Linked DNA regions of Drosophila melanogaster. The protein of the gene in region 2 purifies or fractionates together with the protein of the main gene of each other region. This does not show direct contact. Each region holds a gene or a part of one and is shown on either strand. Other genes may lie near its edges.

What was found.
Region 1: the proteins of baz (region 2) and par-6 purify together in Drosophila melanogaster (affinity purification with western blotting; 7 studies listed by BioGRID). This does not show direct contact.

Annotation. Positions count from the first base shown.
Region 1 is NC_004354.4:17,701,360-17,705,139, reverse strand, and holds the start of par-6 (par-6), read right to left. Parts: upstream 1,789-3,780; 5' UTR 1,490-1,788; coding exon 1,415-1,489; intron 769-1,414; coding exon 540-768; intron 473-539; coding exon 1-472. Other genes in the region: CG8188 (uncharacterized protein), read left to right, coding at 2,931-2,939, 3,364-3,780.
Region 2 is NC_004354.4:17,158,276-17,161,875, reverse strand, and holds the start of baz (bazooka), read right to left. Parts: upstream 1,871-3,600; 5' UTR 805-1,870; coding exon of another isoform or gene 685-804; intron 1-684. Other genes in the region: xmas, read left to right, coding at 2,662-2,705, 2,770-3,600.

The DNA.
Region 1 (3,780 bases), 540 kb from region 2:
GACGTCAGTGTGCGCTGATTGGCCGGCTTCACGGTGATTATCAGATTGGAGCTGTTGGCCACCATCATGTCGGTGACTTGATCCAGAGTCTTGCCAGCCACTTCGATGCCATTTACCTCGATCACCTCATCGTTGACGGCCAGCAGGCCAGTACTTTCGGCCAGACCGCCCGGAACCAAACGGGATATAAAAATGCCCGGCTGCTTCTCTAGCCCACTGGCCGTCACCCTGACAGAGGTGCCATCCCGTATGTAGAATCCCAGGGGCTTATCGCTGCCGTGCTTCAGTAGCCGCACTCTTCTATGCGTTTCCGGCACTATATCCACATCTATAATGGCCGAGACTTGACGGAAATCGTGCGGTATGGATATCGATGGCGCCTTTGTCTTCACTGGCGTATGGCCCATCAGTATGCTGCCGATGAGGTTTCTCGGTTTCATCGTTCCAAAGCCAGAGTACTCATTAAGATCATCTATAGAGTGAACGAAAAGATTGTGGTTGAGTGGCTCGTATTGTATCTTATGCATACCCATACTCACCCTTTCGCTGCACAATGACCCGTAAAAGTGGACGTGCTGTTTTCAGGGCCCGGCCGAAGTTATCGTCGTTGTTAATCGGCAACAGATCATTGTCCCGCGGATCGATGTAGAGTATGAGAAACTGGATGTTGGTCAGCTTGTGCAGCTGCTCAATGAGGGATGCGAATTTGTCGAAGCTCTGCTCCGCCTCATTTCGCTTGAAGCTCCACCTCCGAAACTCTGCATCGAACTAAAGGATACGTATTGATTAGTAAAGGGGCTGAATCTTTTGAAACCCGTATAGTTTGTTCATCAGCATCACCTGTTGATTCAATTGTATGCAGACATTTTACTAATTTAATGGGACCTTCACTGAATTGCAGTACATCTACTGCCTTATAGCTATTACTGGAGTTTATCTTGAAGAATTGTACCTTGACTAATTAATAACTGAAGTTTCCTTCTCTGTAAAATTACAGAAAATGAACGAAACAGGGTAGTTTTTGAGTAAGGCGCAACAGATTGGTTTTCAGGCAAAGAGCCCAAGCAATAAAGGGTGTTGCAACAATCCATATCAGAGCTCAGGAATTCCGACAAGTAAGATGCATTCGCAAGGGCAAATTGTCACTTTTGGGGTGCTTCTAAGATGGAAACCAGTTGCTCCTCACACCTCGCACTCCAAGCATTAATCCCTGCTCTGGCCGCTTTGACACAATCGAGCTCAACAGATAGGAGTTCCCAAATTGGTAGACACATTGCTCCTCAGACTAAAGACCCCCTTTCCACGCACAGAACTCCAATTTAAGCTATTAATCCCATTCCTGAGCGCATGAATCAGCAGCTCAGCGCCGCAGAAAGGGGCGTGGAATCCGGGGGCCACGAAAGTTAGGACTCACCTTCGATTTCACCTCGATTAGATTCGTGTCACTGGCCGCCGTTGCGGACGTTGTGTTTATCTTGTTCTTCGACATTTTCTCCGATCCGCCCGATCAAGAGTGCACTGACAGTTTTCCTCTCCGTTCCTCACACACAACACAAAACACGGCAGTTGAGTTCCGCAGATTCTGATCTGATCTTCAGGATCGAAATCGAACCGATACGCCCGATGCGAACCGAAACCGAACCAAAGTGCAGCGTACCGATGGCGGGGAGCGACGATAGTGGGGGGCCGCCAATAAATTAGAGTTAGAAATCTAAATTAAAACTAATTAAATAAAAAAAATGGATGGATGAACCTATCGGGCACTATCGTACTTCGATATTGGTAGGCACTATCGGTTATCGGATGGTAATAGATCCAGAGTGACCGTGGGGAATGCAAAACCAAAATATACCATTTCAGTTTTCTAAAATACCACAAATATGCTATAAGCAATAGATTTAAACAACAATGAAAGTATCTAAAAAGACTTAGAAATAATAATAATTTGTTTTCAATATAGCTAGCAAAGGTTTTGAATTTATCACAACAATAAGTTTTTTTTTTTAATAACGGTATGTTCTTTGTTTGTTTTTAAATATTTCCCAGAGTAACTTAGGCATGAACCGATGTTGTGCATATATCGATATATCGATAGAGTCTGAGCAGCCATGTTGCTGCGTTAGTGTAGAGACAGTTTGTTTGTGTGGGCTGGGTGGATCTTCAGATGCGCTACATTTGCAAAGTGGCTGCTGTTTGCACGAAAAAAGAGGCTTAACTGTTACAAGACAAGAATTAGCTATATTTAAATGCTCAGTTTTAATCAAAGACGTTTTTTAAATAAATAAATAAAAACCCGCTTTTAAATCGAAGGCAGGCAAGACGCCAGCACGAATATGCCCCAATTGTAGCGCAGCGCCAGCGACGAGGGTTACTGTAAAATGAAACTGTTTTTGTGTGTTGTTGTCGAGCGTGAAGTGTCCAATTAGACAACTGAATTTGTTTAGATGTGAACGCCAGAGTCGAGATAGGTCACACAGCAGCTACGACAAAGTTGAGCGAATCGATTTCAAAACAAAAGCAACCAACGAAACAAAATTTTAAGTCGCTAGAAAAACTAAAAATCAAGATTTTCGAGAGGAGGTGCTATACCAAATACATATATATATATAGTCTTTAAACGAGTGCGTGTGAAAACATAAACCCAAACAACAGACAAGGAGACTAGCGGGGCCAAAGGAAGCATAAGGAGTCTACACGCAAAGGAATAGTTAAAGCCAGCCCACAACGCACATATTCATATATTTTGGGACCACTTTTCCAAGGCAGCTGGGAAAAGGCGGTGAAATTGCGACTATCCGAGAGCCGAAGAGCTCAGCTGCAGGAATAAGCTGACGAAACTGAAACCTTGAGACAGCGATTCGCACGCACACCAGCGCAGGCCCGCATCAACACAGACACACACACGCACAGCAGCAGGAAATTCAGACATCATGAGTTCGGTAGGATGAGCATGTTCCTCACATAATTGTTAGCATTCTAATAATAATAATACGAAACGATTCTTAAGAAGTTGTATCCGTGATTGTAAAGAATCCTATCCAACAGATGCTTCTTAATCTTATGAATGGTTTAGTAGTGAGAGCTTAAAATCGCGTCCTTACAAATACTTTCCAGCATACTAAGAGTATGAATTTCATTAATAAATACCCTGTTTGTGGAGACATGTGATTTTGTTAGTTAAGTTTGTATGTAATAATCCTTGCCTACAAGTACTGTACTGTACTTGCCATCCATTTTTAAAGTTCGTATGTTCCAATAAGTACAATTCCAACTAGAAATAATGACTCAACCCTGTCATTAAAATCAATTTTTGTATATATAAACTTTTGCCATTCCATACTAATGCCATTCCCCCATTTGCAGCAATACTCGAATGTGGAGAACCTGTCGCCGCAGACGATAAGGCAGGTGATGAGGGAGCTGCAGGAGATGGAAACCACGCCACCGGAAGGCATCAAGGTGCTAATCAATGAGAGCGATGTGACGGATATTCAGGCATTGATCGATGGACCTGCTGGCACTCCGTACGCCGCTGGAATTTTCCGCGTCAAACTGACGCTGAACAAGGACTTCCCGCTGACGCCACCCAAGGCGTACTTCCTCACCAAGATCTTTCATCCGAATGTGGCCGCCAACGGGGAGATCTGTGTGAACACACTAAAGAAGGACTGGAAGCCGGATCTGGGCATCAAGCACATTCTGCTCACCATCAAATGCCTGCTTATTGTCCCGAATCCGGAATCGGCGCTGAACGAGGAGGCCGGCAAGATGCTGTTGGAA
Region 2 (3,600 bases):
TATCAACATTTCAACTGGATGTCACAGAGAAGTAATAAGTAATAAGTAAAATGGTAATATTTTATTATATTTTGTCAGCACTTTCTGAAATGGGTTGGTAACCAACATAAATAAATGTAGGAGCACTAATTTCTACATGAAAAGATATCATTTTATTTATTTGTATTTGTTTATTCCATAAGAGCCATTTGATTTTTTTTTACCAGTTTCTACCATTATCTGTGTATAATAATATATATTTGAGAGCTTCGGGGTATTTTACGATATCTATTAGTTTTTATACTTTTGAATGCAAATATTCAAACGAATTGGGAGAGATAACGGTTGTCTATATGTATATCATTAATATAATCATAAATAATATTGGGCCTAACATTATTGTCTAGAATTCTAAGTTAATTGGGTTTTTTTTGTATGAATATAATAATGATACAATTAAAGAAAATTAGTATAATATTGGAATCCATTGGTATTTTTATAAGTCATACATATGTATGAAGTAAATGTCCTTTGTATGTATATATAATATATTTTGAGATAACCTTCTTTATAATTAATGTATTTATTATATCAGTTACATAGTACCTCCCGTAACTCCAGAAGTGTTATCCATCAAAATTACTATCGATGGGTAAAGTAATACTTTATAATACTATATCATATATATCAGGTATATCCCCTTACCTTGCCGGCCGCCTTGATGTAGCGTCGCGTGGCCTCCTTGACGAGATCGCGGACGAGGAGTTCGCCGGAACCACAGGGAACCAGAATGCGAACGTCGCCGAAGCAGACGGTGACCTTCATTTCGTACTTTTCGTGTTAACAATAACTATTATCGTCTTCGATCTGCGATAATAAGTATGTATTTTTGACTGCTGCAATGCACTTTTTATTTTGCACACACATATATGCACTTGATTAAATTGGGCGATCGTTTCTTTAACTTATTTTTTTCTCGAATTTTTCGGATTTTTTCCTATTACTATTTTGTATGCAGCTACTTTTTTTTAACGCTATGCTCGTCTGCCTGCAGCAGCTTTTTGTTGTTCTTGTTGCTGTTGTTGTTACGACCGCATCATCATCATCGTCGTCGCTTTCCAGCTATCGCCATCCTTGTTGCTCCTTTCGCGTGCACAGTGCGCTTGTTGTTGCTGTATTGTTGGTTGTTAGGCAGCTGCAACAAAAGTTGGTCTAGGGCGGCATGGGTGCGAGCGAGATGGCTGCGTGCCTGGAAAAAGGATCGGGATCGCTTTCCAGTATGTACTTGTAGTCGCTCTCGCGCGCTCTCCCTCTCTGTCGCTCTCTGGAAACTGGAACTCTCTTTTGCTATTTACTTAGCATATTTCACCGTAAGGCATCGTTGTTATTGTTTGTTTTGTTGTGTTTGTGTGATTCATACACGCGCGCATTAAAAAAAACGAGTTACAACAACGGCAACCATAATAACAAGAACAACAAACAGCGGGCCAAGATCATTTATTTACTTCTTTTTTTAACGTTCTTCGCTCTCGCTCGCAAACTTGGCATTTGTTTTGGTCAAATTATTATATATTATGCGCTGTAGATTGCATGGTTTTAAATTTACGGTTCGATCATCGTTTTTATATCTTTTCTGTTACTCTCTTTTAACGTTGCTTTTGTCGTGTTTTTCGTTTTCGGTTATCTCCTTTTTCGCCCGTTGGCGTCGCTTCTTTCTTGTTGTTTATCACTTTCAACTATTCATATTTCGATTGCAAGTGGAATAGTATCGTTGACCGCCACTCTTATTAACGAACTATTTGAACTCAAAAAAATGCAAAAAAAATCCACGAGCAGCGCGTTGATTACTGCGCTTCGAGTTCGAATTCGCCCTGGCGAGCAACAACAAATGACCAAAATTCTGGGGATGGCAGGCTCATCGATACTATCGGAACAGCAGCTTGGCTTCTTCGCGGTATTTGGTTATACTTTACTGGGCGGTCACACTACTGCTCGTTATCTCCCGCTTATTTTAAAATCAGGGATTGGGCTAAATGCCATCTAATTCTGCAATAAGTTTTATTGAATTTGCATTGCTTTATATAAGTCAGCCTATTAAATAGAGATATTGATTAAGAGGTAATTAATCGTCTTAAAATATTAAAGTGTAAAGATGAAAATATTTCTTATGTAAGCTATGTATAAATATAAAATACTAGGAACAACCAATTTCGATAGGATTAATTGTATAGTCCTAAGAACGACAGATAGTGTTATCAAGATCGAGGAGTTTGAATCGAGAGCTTAAAAGAGAATAAAAAGAACTTAAAAAGATTGCTACACCTATATATATATTCATATATATATAAGATAATATAAGAAGATGTTCGATTTCATTCAACAGTTTAAGGAACGCCCCAAGCATTTCCTAATTTCCTAAGAATATATGTTTACCAACTCCTGTTAACATTTTATTTATTAGGCAAATACATTCATCTCGAATGTAAAACATTAAAATTTTCAATTAAACCTGAACGATATTGTGTGGGTGGGATAGCCATTGCGGTATTTTTTTCGCGCCATTTTCAGATTTGCGTTATCGATTACCGGCAATCGCTTGACGGCAATATTGTAACAACAAAGCACACATTCGCTCTCATTCAGCTAAAAAAGAAACTAAAAACCTTAAACTATATTCGATCGATGGCAGAACCCCGTCCCGGCGGCTACAACTACAAGACATTATTGTGAGTAAAAGTTCGTTCATCAAAGGCAGAGCGATGTCAACTATAGTTCCATACGAATCCCCAGATGCAGAAACATTCCGGAGCTATTTTTGGACAAATATGTGGCGCGTTCGCACTTTGGACGTTTTGGAACCCTCGTAAACTTCGTCCTGCGTCCGCGGCGAATGACCTGCACCGTAAGCTATGCCAGCGAGGACGAGGCGGCGCGGGCGCTTCTCGATGGCGCCAGCTTTCAGGGTCACCTGTTTGATATATCCTATGCTGATAACGAGACGGCGCCGGCACAGAAAACGGAGGAGTGGGTGGATCCTGACATTCAGGCGGAGTTGAGTGCACTGCAGTCGGGCTGGCGCAATGAGTATGGGTCGGGCAAGCCGATAAAAAAACCACAAAATGGCAGCAGTGGTAGCGGTGGCAGTTCAATGCTGCCTGCCATACCAGTTGGGCCCGCAACGGCGCCGGTGAGCAGAGATCGTACGCCTGCCCAGCTCAGGGATCTTGAGAACATGATGCGCAGACCCGCCCATACAAGCGAGGAGAAGTTCAGCGTGCTGGATGCCCGCGATAAGCTGCTCCGGTTGAACCGAACGCAACACAAGCTGTCCGGTGCCACCCAGGGTCACTGCGCCGATATGTGTCCGGAAAAGGAGCGCGTGCTGAGAGAATTCCAGCGCCAGGTAGCCTACTATGAACTACAACCGGGCTCCGATGAGCTAATCTGTCACGAAAGAGCCCTGAAGCAGTACTCGCGCAGCAGTGCCGACCAGGAGACGCCACTGCCGCATGAACTGCGCAATGAGACTGCCCTGCACATGACCATGAGCTATCTAATGCATGAGATCATGGACATTAGCGAGCGCCAGGATCCGCAAAGCCATATGGGCGATTGGTTCCA